Lonchura striata: one gene and its partner. The protein of the gene in region 1 interacts with the protein of each later gene in a pairwise test. Links are inferred from orthologs where the notes say so. Each region holds a gene or a part of one and is shown in the gene's direction. Other genes may lie near its edges.

The links.
Region 2: the proteins of PPP1R12A (region 1) and ATXN10 interact in binary tests that used the Homo sapiens proteins (3 or more experiments, as listed by UniProt). The link is inferred for Lonchura striata from reciprocal best matches to the Homo sapiens genes PPP1R12A and ATXN10.

What each region holds. Positions count from the first base shown.
Region 1 is NC_134607.1:48,671,317-48,678,602, reverse strand, and holds the start of PPP1R12A (protein phosphatase 1 regulatory subunit 12A), read left to right. Parts: upstream 1-4,109; 5' UTR 4,110-4,221; coding exon 4,222-4,458; intron 4,459-4,750; exon of another isoform or gene 4,751-4,770; intron 4,771-7,286. UniProt on the Homo sapiens protein: Key regulator of protein phosphatase 1C (PPP1C). Mediates binding to myosin. As part of the PPP1C complex, involved in dephosphorylation of PLK1. Capable of inhibiting HIF1AN-dependent suppression of HIF1A activity.
Region 2 is NC_134607.1:5,565,157-5,572,870, reverse strand, and holds the start of ATXN10 (ataxin-10), read left to right. Parts: upstream 1-4,481; 5' UTR 4,482-4,483; coding exon 4,484-4,596; intron 4,597-5,905; coding exon 5,906-6,097; intron 6,098-7,563; coding exon 7,564-7,646; intron 7,647-7,714. UniProt on the Homo sapiens protein: May play a role in the regulation of cytokinesis. May play a role in signaling by stimulating protein glycosylation. Induces neuritogenesis by activating the Ras-MAP kinase pathway and is necessary for the survival of cerebellar neurons.

The sequences.
Region 1 (7,286 bases):
ATCAGGGGAGAAAATCTTAAGGCAAAATTTTTAGAAGCCACACTGTGTGTAATGCTGTACAAAATGAGAGACACGGCAGCAATTATCCACTTGGAGGTCAGAACAAAATTCTACATCCCAAAAGATGATGATCTTGGGTAGTCAAAAGCTTAATCTGTGAACATTTGTTGTCTAGAAGCCTGTGCGAAATAGCTTTGAACAATGGTTGTAGTGCTTTTAAGAAAGGATGGAAAACCAGAAAACACACTGATAGCAATCTCATTGCTAAATCATTGTATTGATCACTTGAAGCCTGTCATTAAATTTACTGGAAACATGTATACACATAGATGCTATCTCTGTGAAATGTTTACATCATCACCTCTACAGAAAAACAGCTGTACTGAATTCAGTGCTAGTATTTGTATGTGGAAAATTACATACTTAATCACCTTTGGGATTGTGTATATACATGCAAACAAAGGATTTAACAGCACACCTAGTGTGTTGGGTAGTCTGGTAGCAATACACCGAAAAAGCCTGATAAAACTAGATCTAACGTAGGACACATCCTTAAGTTGCACTCATAATGTAGCTCAAATGGTTAAGTGCCTCTTATTAGCAACTATGATTATTGTAAACATGCATACTTATGCAGTTATCTAATTCACTCTTGTGATACTCTCTTGCAGTAGTGACTCTTTTAGAACTAATTTGATACTCACTTTTAACATGGTCTTCAAAAACAGCTTTAATATATGTTTGCTCTAACCCTTTACACAAATGAATTTAACACTCCAGGCTTAGGCAAATAATGGGAAAATAATTTCATATTTGTACCAAAATTATTATTGGTATTTATATATGTTTAGCTCAATTTGTATGGAATTAGAAGCTCTAGACCGTCTCATCTCTCAGCTACACTGATTTTCCAATGACATGGGATGACATTAGACATGGGGTAGAATGGCACTGTGATGGGGTAAAGAATATGACCCAATATGCCTTTGCTATTTAAATTGCAAACATTTATTAGAGATATGAGGTAGGAAAAAATTAGAAATTAAAAATATTATTATTAGTATTATTATTCCCTTCTTGAAGTGTGAACACTTGCAGAGATTAACTAGTTTACAGAAATTACAACTCTACTTTTTGCTTAAGGAAGACCATATGCTTTGCTAGATTTAAGAACTACATATAATTTCCAGCAGAGCACATAGCTATCTCCAAAGGACATTCATACTCAATATATATGGAATATCTGAGTTTCAGCTGACTGTACAAATGAATTATATCTTGCCTGTAGTGTCTGCAAAACCCCTCAAACATAACTCCCTACCATGATGTGCAATCCAAAAAAATTAAAAAGTCAAGGAAAATAATGTCAAGAATTTGGAGCATACAAATAGCTGCAGTGAATGGAAAAATATTTGCTGAAGTTCTCTGAAAAGCTGGAGCTGAATCAGTGAAAAAACTTTCCTGGAAAGAAGAATAAAAGGAAAATATGAAATCTGGGTTTTAAGAATAAAAAAATATTTTATTTAAGAATAAAATTGAGCTGTAGAACTTCTGCATTTCACTAACGAGACAAGAAGAGCAAGTTGGAGTTAAAAGAGGATCCCTGACCAGAAAGAAAAAGCTGAACTGGAAAATTGAAATCAAGCAGAGGGGACTGGAACTCTAATGAAAACTTAGAAACTTGCTCCGTGACATTGAAATTCCTGAGAAAGTGCATGTTGAACATATGCCTATCTATTTGCCTAGAATTACTTTCTTGCTAATAAAGCACTATATTTAAATATTGTTTGCTGAAATCAAACATTCTTCAGATATGAGGTTTCTTGAAGAGTCAAATTTTCAGACAGCCAACTGAGAGAGAAGCATGATGGGGAGGTGACTTGTAAAATATCTGAGACATCTGGGGCAGGGGAAAGAAGCTTTTGTCTTGCATTGCCTTTTTCCAGGGTATAGTTTTCAAGTCCTTAGGAAATGGCACTGTGTTGAGTCTGCCCTGGGAGAGTTTGCCCACAAGGACAAGACTACAGCAGGAGGCTGGAACCTGCACAAATTCCCTCCTTAGACATGAGTCAGGTGCTGCAGCCAAGCTCCCAGCTGGTAACTGTCCATGCCATGCTGGGTGGTACCAGTGCTATGCCAAAGCACAGCCAAATCACTCGTGTGAGTAATAAACACTGCAAAGACTGGTCTTGAATTGTGCTTTGCAGTCAGCCATATTTTCAAATCCAGGAACCTAAAATGTACCCCTGGATAGACACAGGCTGCCAAAGGGAAGGTATAAATTAGGTGCCAGGTAATCTTTCATCCACCTACTTAGACTGCAAATCTTTTTCTGGCAAATCTTTCTTCTTGACTACCAGATGTTGTCTTTTGTTCTCAATCACATTACGCCTGCAAACTGTCAGTGCATGTAGCTCATGCACTGCTGTATAAGTAAGTCTGATGGATATTATGCAAATATCTCCAGATGAAAATCTCTTCTGAAAGACATTAAGAACAGCACATTGCTGCAGGTATCTTGCAACTACTACTTCTTGTGAAATGTCACGGACATCTTTATCAATATAAATGGAAATAAGAGTCCTAGTCAGCTGCACAATTGCCCACCGTAAGAAGGAGACATTGTAATTAGAAAAGCACAAATTATGCAAAATTTGAAGTGTATGAGGTTTGGTGACTCTCTCAAACTATACTTGGTTTCCTGTAATTAGTTGAAAATAAAACTTATTTTCCAGTAAGTTCAAAACCACATTTTATCCCAGAGATTATTCCATTTAAAGCCAAATACATATTGCTTAGCTAAAGAAAGCATGCTGTGCATAGAAAAAAAAACTTTATTATCTGTTATAGCTTGGTTCCTAGAAGTTGCAAATCTGAAGAAAAACATTTTAGTCTTTGTATCTTCAAATCCTGTGTGGTTTGTTAACTACTTGTTTTCTCCCAAGAGAAAGGATGACTGTGCTACTCCCCAGTTTTGACATCATGGAAGTGAACTGTAAGTGAAAAGGACAACAATCACAGGGCTTTGTCCACTGCCATGCAGAATGATAGAATCACAGAATGTGATGGGGTTGAAATGGATTTTGAAAATCAACTAATCCAAATCCCCTGCCATGGGCAGCAGCACCTCCCTCTACACCAGGCTGGTCAAGGCCTTATCCAAAGTGGCTTTAATCACTGCCAGGCTGGGGCATCCACAACCTCTCTGGGCAACCTGTTCCAGTGTCTCACCGCACTCACAATGAAGAATTTTTTACAAAAACATCTAGCGTAATTTGTGCCCATTACTCCTGGTTCTATCATTACAGTTCCTGAAAAGGAGTCTCTCCTCAGCTTCCCTAGAGGCCCCCTGAAGTGTAGAGGCAAAGGGGGTGCTTTTGTAGATCAAACTGTGCTGAGGTAGTCCTATCTAACCTCCCAAAACAAATGACCCTCAACCATGTTGCTCCATTTATTTTCTCTTTTCCAGTCAAGTGGTTCCATATGCCTCGTTTGCCAACGCAGGCAGAAACACCCACCTGTTGCCGCAGGTGACAGAAGTCACCGTCGGGAATGGGCAGCACCTTTAGAAAGGGCCCGACGGAGGCGGGGCTGGACTTACTCCCCACTGCTCTCTGCCCACTCCACGCCCCTCTGCCCACTGCCCTCTGCCCACTCCCACTCCCCTCTGCCCTCTGCTCACTCCCCACTGCTCTCTGCCCACTCCCCACTGCTCTCTGCCCACTCCCCACTGCTCTCTGCCCACTCCCCACTGCCCTCTGCCCACTCCCCACTGCTCCCTGCCCACTCCCCACTGCTCTCTGCCCACTCCCCACTGCCCTCTGCTCACTCCCCACTGCTCTCTGCCCACTCCCCACTGCCCTCTGCCCTCTGCCCACTGCTCTCTGCCCTCTGCCCACTCCCCACTGCCCTCTGCCCACTCCCCTCTGCCCACTCCCCACTGCCCTCTGCCCACGCCCACTCCCACTCCCCTCTGCCCTCTGCCCACTCGGCCCGCGCGGCCCCGCCCCGCTCGCGCGCGGCCTCCCGCCGCACTGCCCCCCCGCGATCTCGCGGGATTATGCTAACGAGGCCGCCGCCGCCCCGCCTCTCCGCTCCCCGCCCGCCCCGCGCCCTCCCTGGGCGGGTGAGCGCGCGCGGCCGCGGTGCGCTGTGGGATAGTGGCGGTATAAAGTGTACGCTCGGCGCGGCCGTGGCTGAGGGGGCCGGCGCGAGCGGGGCATGAAGATGGCGGACGCCAAGCAGAAGCGGAACGAGCAGCTGAAGCGCTGGATCGGCTCCGAGACCGACCTGGAGCCGCCCGTGGTCAAGCGCAAGAAGACCAAGGTGAAGTTTGACGACGGCGCCGTCTTCTTGGCCGCCTGCTCCAGCGGAGACACCGAGGAGGTGCTGCGACTGCTGGAGCGGGGCGCCGACATCAACTACGCCAATGTGGACGGGCTCACCGCTCTCCACCAGGTCGGTGCTGGGCCGAGGAGGGACCCCAGCCGGACTGGGGCGGAGGGGGCGAGGCCGGCCGGCTGCCCCCCCTCCCCCCCCCCTTCCTCCGCTCCGGAGGAGGAGGTGGAGGAGGAAGGGGCCGGAGGCGGCTGCGCTCCCTCCGCTGGGGGGTGTCGGGGCGGGGAGGTGGCGGCAGGGTCAGCCTGGGACCGGCCGGGGCCGCGGGCCGAGCCCCGGGCCGGCGGGGCCGCAGGGGCGGGAGGCTGCACCCCCTCCCCGCGAGCTGGGCGTCGGAATGGGCGGATGGGCCTCTCCTCCGGCGGGAAGGAGGTGCCGCTCACCTTCTTTCGTTTTCCCCTTTTGGCAGCGCTTCCCTTGGAGGGCTGGGGGTGCGGGCCCGGCCCAGCATGGGCTGAGGGGGCCGGAGGTAGATGCCCCCCGGCGAGGGAGGGTGGCTGCAGGTGAGAAGAAGCGGGCCGCCCTCGGGGGGCGCTTCTGCCGCTGCCCCTTGCCTGGAATCCGGGTAGTAGCTCCCTGCTTCCCTCGTCTCCCCGGTTCCGCAGTAGTTGAGCCGATTAAAGCCCGCTCGTGTGTGCGGGCGGCCCTGTTGAGAGACAGATCATCTATTTTTCTCCGGTTTCTAGGGGAAGCCAGTGTTTTGTTCATTATATAGAAACGCGTATCAGTAAGGGGTTGTTTTCGTTACGATGGCTCCCGCCGCAGTGTGAAAGCTGAACTTCAAGCGGAACAGGGATCTTAAATTTTTTTTTCGTGCGTTGGAGAGCATTAAAAAACCCTATCCATATCGCTTTGTTCTGGTGTGGGTATGTGGGAGGGGTGTTGGTACCAAGGGAGGTAACTTTCACTTGGGTCAGGGGGGGAATGCACGGGAAACTGGCTGTGAAGTTTCCTCAAAATGGATGCTTTGTGCATGTTGAACTTCATAGCAGTCTGATTGGAATCTCAAAACGTTAGCCAAATAAGGAAAGGCTGTGGCAATCCGGAGATAATGCGGGTTTGCCTGAATAGTTTTTTTCTCTAGAAGGCCAAAAGTTTCCACGCAATATTAGATTCACTGAATATCTATAAAGCAATAAAATACCTTTGACAGGCTAGCTTCTTGTTCTTAAGTTTGTAAGTTGTTCAGTAGTTTCAAAAAATATCTTAATGTTTATGTGTTGTAGGTTGATCAAGTAGAAATTTTCCCAAAATGGTTAGGTGAGGTGGTTTCTTACATTAAAAAAAAATGAGATGGTGAATTTGTTTTCTCCATCCTATATAGGTTTTTCAAGGCTATGAGGCTCTAGAAATACATAAACTGCCTTGCAGAACTGGATAGAATCCCCTCTTGAATATGGGTTATAAAATTCTATGACTATTTGCTCTGTTTGCTGTGGCTGAGTTGTCACTTGCTGTTGTCACCCTGTAAAGAGTGTTGGTTTAATTTCAGTTGTGAACTGAACTGGAAGAATGAGTGTGTGTTGCGGTTAAGCCTGTCAGCGTGTTACTGCAGCGCAGTTACCTGAGTGCAGGCTAGCCTGTCACTTCATTGGAAGGTTTTCTGTATTTATCCTCCACTAATCAAGTTTTGGTAGCTTCATGCTTCCAGGGAGCTCTCTATGAGAAGCCATACCTTAATTGGCAGATCCTTGGATCTGCAAGTTGCTGTACTCCAGTCATTGGTAGGGAAGGATGATGTTTAGTTTAACTCTATTGTTAGAATAAGAGATGGTGTTCTTTCTTTCTGATGTCCAGAAGGCATTTTCAAAATGTCTTTGATACAGTATACAAAAAAGCTTTCCTCAGGGTAATTCTGAGCATATTCTCCCCCCTTTTTTGTATGTTGTAGTCAGCTTGCAATTTGAAAGGGCAAAGTCTAAGGGAACAGAGGTGAAGATTTACATCACTGCTAAAATCCTTGCTCATGCTCCTCCTGTCCCCTCCCCTCCTTTAGTGATACCAAAAGACCTTTTCTGATTCTATGATACTGGAAGCAAATAAGATCAGTTGTGAAGTTATAATCCTCTTGAGGCAGTACAGTAAGTTACCTGTTGCTGTGAAAAAAACATACAATGAATCCCTGCCTGTGACAACTCTGAATGGTTTCACTTCATTATTAACACAAAATCTTATTTTCTTCCAATATGCCATATAAAAGGTGCAAATCACACATGTAGTCTGTAGCATGAATTAATTTAATCCAATTTGGCTGCAGTGTGAAAAATTCTGTATCTGTTTTCAAAAGAAGCTCTTCAAAAACTTGTCATTCTTCCTGACACTTTTGACTGACTAATGGTAATTGTGTTCAAGTCGATGTTGTTATGTTTAAGATTGTCATGGAGTGCTGTTGCATTGTGGTTCTTTGGTTGGGTTCTTTTCTGTTTTGTGTCATCTGTTAGATCCCGTGTAGAAGACATTGCTCTTCAGAGAAGTAAATTTATCTCAGCAAAGGTAAAATTACTGTACTTTTTTTGGGTGTGTCTTTTGTCTTCTATCAGTTTATTTTTTCTAGTTATTGAGAACAAATACATATGCCTGGAATAGCAATAGAATTAAATGTTTAATGTAATATTTAGCCTTTGATTTTCCTGCTACATATGGCAGTTATAGGAAGAGCCTTCAGCTTTGTTTTATTTTTCACAGCTCAGGCAGTTGGAAGTGCTAAGGGGAATGTACCATTAATCCTGAAATTCTGGTGAACTTTAGGTCTGGTCTTTAATGGAGCATCAAGCTTTGTTGTTGAAGCCGTTAGCTAAGCTTTTCCTCTGATTGGGGTAGAGTGCCATCACCATCAGAGAGCTGCATGTAGAATTGTTTCTCTTCATGCATACTGGAAAGAAAACAAT
Region 2 (7,714 bases), about 43 Mb from region 1:
TACTGAAGTTTGGGGCAAACACCAGAGAATAATATCCTAGGAGAGAAAAACCTACTGCATGCCTAACATTATGGAAGGGAATTAAACTCTGACTTGCAGTTAGAAAATACGGTAACTACTTTCCTTAGTCCAATAAAATAAACTCAGTTCTTCTTTGAAATAGGAAGTGTTAAATTTGTGGCAATTTATTAAATGCTGGAGCTTTGGCAGTTCACAATGTACTTGAATGACTATAAAAAACAATTTCTTAAGAGCTGAAGCAGTGTTTCTTCCAAGGATTATTTTTGGAAGCTCCTATTTGCTGGATGTTATTTGTGTCCCTTTCCAAGAGGTGGTGAGTTTAAGCACTTTCTGTTGCAGGGCAGAAGAAGGACATTGGTGAATAAGGAACTCTCTGGCTCCTGCAACCCTGACCAAACATACCTTTCTGGGGGAGAGCAGCTGCATGGTTCAAGGGCAGCACGAGAGGAAGGGGAGCTCTGCCTGCCTTTCCTGGGCAGCTCCAGTACCACAGCACATCACTGCTGACAGTTCCTTGAGCAGATTCCTTCCATGGGCAATTAGCCTTCACAAAGCATGAACGGACTAGTTTTCTATTAGGAGACTGAATTTTAGCTGACAAATTAGACAGGTTCCCTGAGGCCAGAGTTATGCAGCTTTGCCAGTTTCACTAAAAATGTGATTTATAACAGATTCCTCAGCAGAGGCACTCCTTGCTTCAGGAATGAAGGTGCACACTGTACTCAAACTCTTCATCTGATCATGAGGGTTTTACAAACTTTTGTCTTCTGCAGGAAAAATTGACTGTTACTTGCTTTTGGCTTATCAAGTGACTCCTCATTTGTCCATGAATGGCTAGTGGGAAGCTACAGTGCATATTTAGAAGTCAGGCATGCAGGTGTAAATAACATTTTAGGAGGTAAGAGTATTTAAGTTTGGGAAGGTAAGTCGATGTAGCTGGATGGAGTTTCTAGCTGTGAAAACAATGCAACAGATTTTGTCTAAGATGTGTCTCTGGCTTTTGATGACTCTGGCATGAAATAGGAGCACAAGTATCTCACCCTGCATGCTCCCAGCAGAGGTGCTGGGCAGGGACTCCTGCTGCACCCTGGTTGTGATGCACCCTGGGGGCAGGATGAGCCAAGGACGGCCGCTCCATCTGTGCGGGGCAAGCATGGCTAAGAGACAAAAATAAAGTCTAGCAGCCACAAATACCATGTTGTGCTTTGCTGCCTTTAGTTCTGCCTTTAAACCAGACCACTCTGAAAGGGAGACAAAAAAATAAAAATTCCCAAAGGTAATGGAAGACTCAGAGTTTTTGTGCAGGTGCAGAGTCACAAAAATGATGGGCAAGGAGAAAAGGGAAGAAAGAATCAGATCCCAGACCCAATTCCTGCCAACTGAGGCTCCACCTCTGATTCATCACAAAGTTTTCTCCTTGTTTCACCCTCTGGTGTAAGCAGCATTTGTATTCTGTGAATATCAGCACATATTCAGATCAAAAAGCAGGCTCACCCATCCCTGACAGTGTCCTGAACATGTCTGTGTTTGCATGGAATTAATAGTTAACATTTTAATTATTAATGTATATTATTTAATATCTGCATGCTGTGTTACTGAGGTATGAGGCACACTCAGACTGGTGAAGTATGGAAGGGGAGGCTAAAAAAGCTTAGGCAGCCTAGATCTAGCAAGTGTGGCACACAGATGCAGACACAGGGGGCTGATTTTATTTGGATAAGTTTTGGACTTAAGGAGAATGTTGCACAGGTGAACAGATGGACAAATGCCTCCTTCAATATCTGCTTTTATCTCCATGGGAGCTGGGAAATTTATAGCTCCAAAGTATTATTACTCCCAGTCATTAAAGAGTGTGGGATTTTTTTAATTTAAAAGCTTGTCATACACATACAAATTATGACTTCTGAGGAGGCCAAATCTTATAATCAGTAGATGCAGATGGAAACTATTAAACTTGACATAAATTTGTGTCTGCTTAAAAAAGATGTTAGCTAAAAAAAATTAATAATCTATCACTTTAGTCTTCTAACATGACCTTCTGGAAACAGACATATAAAACAGGAATGGATCAAAGCTTCTCTTCATATACATAATTAGACAAATGGTTTTCGACAGCCTTTACATACTGGTTTAAAAGAAACTTAATTTTCTTTTATGCAAATTCACAGGTATGACAGGGAGATTTCATCAGATATTTCTTCAATGGGTTAAGGTTTTGAAATTTAAAAGCAAAAAAAATCCTTATATCTGAACCTTATGAAATCTTCTGATGTTATTTTAATAGCAATATTTGTTCTTTTTTTAAAGTTTAGGTTGCATGATTCTTTCAATGAATATTAAGCCAGCATAGGAAAATTCTGAGAAAATTAAGTTCTGAGATTTTTAACTAGAACTTCACAAGCTTCATAATATTATATCAAAATGAATGCTTACAATTTTCAATAACTTTTTTCTTGTAAGTATCGAAGCTTTTCTTATAGCTGCAAAAATTGACAAAGATCTAAAGAAAAAGATTCTGTAAAACTGAAGTTTAACCCTTTATTTCTCAGTTCTGTCAGTCTAGCAACTCTGTATCACTGGATATATTTTCTCCTTAGAGACAATTCTCTAGAAATAATAGAGATAATATATGTAGCAACTTCTAGTTACCAGTAGCATCTTCTAAAATATTATTTCTTAAGATCACATTAGACTTGGGCTAATGACATTTCTTAAGATGACATTAGGCTTTCATAAATTCTGCAAAAGCAAACTTCATAGGAATTTGTCTCCTAACATGAAGATATCAATCCCAGGCCTATAGCTCTCACCTTGCAAAGCTTATCTGCTGACAGATGTTGCACATATGGAAAATCTTTTGAAGACTGAGGTTATTGTGATTTAGAATCCTAAGCTATCCTGAGTTGGAAAGAACATGTGTCCTGTGATTTTAGTGTACAATAAAGATGAGTAGACTAACTCATTTCACAGATGGAATTAACAAATTAAATTGACTCTACACCAGCAGTGAATCATTCAAACTCTACAGTCTAATAGTTTTAGGCTGAGTTCTGCTGCCCACTATTTTACCTCCACTAGATGTCAGGCTTTTGACAGAGCTGGAGGAGTTTAATCTCTATTTCTCAGTATGAAGCTTGGTCAGGATCATAGCTACGGTTCTCCAATTCCAAACACCAGCAGTAATCCAAAATAGGAGATACTGAGTCACTATATGAGTTTTCCTTGCTTTTCATTCTTTTAGGCCTTGTTTTTTCCCTGCAGCAAATTTCTCAGCTTTGGCAGGTACACCAATGCTGGTACATGGAAGCACTTCCAAGCAGTGTGGGATTCCCTGTGGGCATTTCCCTTTGCTCCTCCATTCATTGGTTTGACACCTCTGTTCAGGAAGACTGCTTAACTGGTGAGTTCCTCAAAAATATTCAAGCACGTGCTTCTTTACTCTCTGGGAGCAACCAAGTGGTGGTGAGTTCTTTTGTTATTTCTGCTCCCTAGTAGGCACATTTATTTCTATTTTCTGGGAATGAGATAGAATTTCAGACAGTATTCCCATTTCTCCAACAGCACCTTTGTGAGATATTTGAAGTAGCCAGGCTGGCCTCCAAGCTTAGCAGGTGAATTACATTTGCCAAGCAACAGAAAGCAGATAGCATTTCCAGGATTTCATGCAGGATTTTGTAAGACTTTGCTCCACAGATGCTAAGCAATGGCTGCCACAGTCCCCAAAAAGTGAGTTTCTCATGTGGAGTTCTGCAAATACAGAGCAATCTCAGCAGGTTTAATGTGGAGAGTGATTGCACACTGTGCAAGAGCAATGAGTCTGCTTTCTCTAGTGTTCAGTCACAATTAGTCTTTTTGACCATCGGAAGCTAATTTCCCACCCACACACATACAGATGAACTTCTCATACATGTTTAGAAAATGCTGAACGGTATGTATAAAAAACAAATATTAAAAATGTAGAATTTAATTTAAAAATATTTCAAAACCTGGAGCAAAGTAGTATTAAGGCTTGGACTGGGAGGGACCTTAGAAATCATCTAGTTTCACATCCCTGCCACAAGCTGGTAAATTTGTATATAATTAGGACATTAAGCATGAAATAATAATTCCCGCAATTCATGTATTTTTGTATTAATTTAATATTTGTTTTGCTCCGAGACGGGTCTCCCCAGGAGCGCGCGGCGCGGTGTGGGGCGCGCGGCGTGACGGGAGCGGGCGGCGCGCGGAGAGCTTGCTGAGGGGAAAAGGCGCGGGCGGCGAGGCGCAGCTGAGGGAAGGCGGCGCCCCTCAGGCGGAGCGGCCATCTTGCCGCCTCCGCACGCGGCCCTCACGCCCGGCGGCGCGGCACCGCCGCCATTTCCGCGGGCGGGGGCGGACCCGGGGCAGGTCGGGTGATGGCGGGGGCGGTCCCAGGACCGGGGCGGGGTCGGCGATGGGGGCGGTCCCGGGGCGGTCCCGGGCGATGGCGGCGGGGGCGGTCCCGGGCCCGGGGCGGGCGATGGCGGCGGCGCTGCCCGCGGCCCGCCTGGAGAGCGTGCGGGCGCTGTCGGCTCTGCTCCGGGAGGCGCAGCCCAGGTAGAGGGGAGCAGGGAGCGGCGTTGCCGCTGGATGTCGGGCTCGGCTCCCGGCGCGGTCCTGCCCCAACGTGGCTCGGAAAGGGGCTCTCGGTGCCCCCGTGGGGGTGCGCATCAAGTCCTGGGGAGGTTCTGCACCCCCGGATTCCTCGTGGGGCTGTGCGTGTGTCGGGGGGTGATCTGTCCTGCCCCAGGGCTCCATGAGGAGCTGCAGTGTGCTCAGGCCTTGTGCCTGTGGCAGGGAGAAAAGGTGTTTGTTTCTTAGTTGTGGGTAGCACCAGTTATCCTAGAGATACAGAATGGCTTGGGTTCCAGGAACGGTAAAACTCATCCTATCCCACCCTTGCTATGGGCATGGTTATCTTGCACTGCCCCAGGTTGCTCCAAGCATTGTCCAGACTGACCTTGGACACTTCAGGGATGGGGCAGCTGCAGCTTCTCTCGCAAACCTGTCCCAGGACCTCCCTGGCCTCACAGGGAAAGATTTCTTCCTAACATTCAGTCTAAACCTACTCCATCGGGCTGAAGCTATTGCCCCTTGTTCTGTCACTTCAGGCTGGTGTCAATAATCTCCATCTTCCTTGCAGGCTCCCATCAGGTACTGGAAGGCATTGTTTAGGTCAGCTCAAAGCTGCTTCTCCAGGCTGAGCACTCCCAAGTCTCTCAGCCTTTCCTAATTGTAGAGTTGCCCCATCTGTCTAAACAGCTTGGTGCCTCGTCTGAATTCTCTCCAACAGCTCCATCTCCTTTCTGTGCTGGGACCCCACAGCTCAAGGCAGCTCTGCAGGTGGGGTCTCACCTGAGCAGGGCAGGGAAGCAGAATTCCCCCCTTCACTCCCCTGCTGCCCATGCTGGGGGCTCAGCCCAGCACAGGGGGGTGTTCTGGCTCCCAATACACGTGGCCAGGGCACGTCCAGCTCTCAGCACCACCACCCCCAAATCCTTCTCCCAGGCTGCTCCATCTGCTCATCCCTAGGCTGAATTGATCCTTGGGGGTTGTCCTGACCCAGGTGCAGTGCCAGCACTTGGCTCTTGTTGAGCCTCATGGGATTCCATGGACTACTTGTGGGGCTTGTGGTGCCTTTCTGGGCAGGCACATTAGGTGGGATGTAGCTGCTCTGGGGCAAAAAACCATGGAAGCCCTTCAGGGTGTTCAGAAGTGGGTGAGATGTGTCTGTGTGAGGCCCTGCTGGGGGACAGTCTCATTCCCATGTGAGGCCAAAGCTTTGGGATGTGAGCCTTGGGGACAAAGGACCATGCCCAGCATGGCAGGATGGGCTGCTCTGACTTCACAAATTTATCTATTTCAGAGAAACAGCAGAAGAAAGTGTGTTTCAGGATGTCCTGGAAATCCTGAAGAGCACTGCTAGTGCCCTTGAGCAGACCTGTAAGGACTCCTGTGGGCTGACAGATTTAGACACCTGCCTGCTGCTCATAGCAGAGTGCTTCAGATGCCTGAGGAACGCATGTGTTGAGTGTGCCAAGAATCAACGTGTCTTGAGGTACAGTTGTGAACCCTCTTAGCCCATACCAAAGTACCACCTTCAGCTGTTTATGTGGTTTTATAAAAGAGATTATTTTACACTGTTCTGTTAGTTGATTTATTAACTGGCATTTCCTGCTTGATGGAATCAATTGAATTCAAATATGCAAGAAACAAAATTAGTTGCCCTATTTGTAGGTCAGTTTAGGGCCCTGCTCAGTAATAGAACAAAGTGTTAGGGTCCGTAATGCAAGTTGGTTACACAAATGATATAAGCCTCCTGGAAGCCTGACTGTAGAACTATCATTTTTTCTTTTTCTTTAATTTTTTATAACATAATGAATAATGAATCAGTGACTGGTCTTAATAATCAATTACAGAATTAGCATGTCTTTTAAGGTTCATTTAAATCTGTCTGGCTTTCCTGGCAAAACACAGCATGAAGAAATGTGCATATTGAACCATATTGATCCATATTGATCTACATATATACAGGCAAGTTGAGCTTAAAGGATATTAAATCAATCTGGTTTCTTAAGTTATTTAGTCTTTCTGTTCTTTGCTTGTGTCTGTTGCAATATTGAAGGGATGCTTGTGATACAACCAGTTAGTTGTAGTTAGTGAAAACCTGACAGTCTGGTTGATGTTTTTAAAAAACTCAGCAAAATAGCAGCAAACACCCTCCTTGCTCGGCTGCCCCATGAGAATCCCAAGCTAACCAACCAACAAAAAAACCACCAGAACTTGTCACAAGTTGGTTATATCAAAAATTATTGGGGACTACAGTAATAAAAATTGGCTTCTTGGGACATGTCAAATTTGGTTTACTGAACTGAATGTAATTTTGACCTGGGACCAAGTCTTAGTTTCTGTGCTGGGGCAGAATTCTGTTAATGCCACAGAAATTGTAGTGCAAGTCATTCTGAGAGTCTACCTATGATTCCTCCTCACTGGAGAAAGGCTAAATGATTACTTGGCTTCCTCTGCTCTCTGAGAGTTGTGCATGTTCCCCTTTCAGCTGCCCTGTTGTTTTTTTGGTAGCTGTCACTAACTGCTTTGTTGGCATTGAAAATCCTCCAAGTTTATTATGAAGTAGGATACGACTCTTGTTCTGGATGCTTGACATCCAGACAAAGCAAAGTTCTTACAGAAATAAAGCTATTTAAATTACAGAAATAACTTGCTAATGTTTAATGTCTGGTAGGAAGAATAGCAAAAAGGGAGGAAAGGGTGCTTAGCTCTGAAGATTCTGAGTCCAAAATGTGTAAAATGCAGGATGATGCAATAAACCCCTTTGATTTGCTTCTGATGGTAGTAATGTAGCTACTGATAGGCAGACAGTAATGTAGGATAAACTATTTTTGTTTCAGAGGTCCTGAAGATGCTAAAGATTTCCTGTTAACTTTGGTAAAAAGCCTTTTAAATTTTTTTGAGTGCATTCCATATCAAGTGAATAATTATGTTTTATTCCCAATTTAATAACAGGAACTTGGGTCTCATCTCTACATCTGTCCATTTGATAAAGTTGCTTCATGGAATACAATTCAAAGAAGAATTGTTACTGACTGGTAAGGCTGGGGATTTTGTTAAATGTATAGCTTATGCTGTATTGTTTTGCATGCATGTACAAAAACTA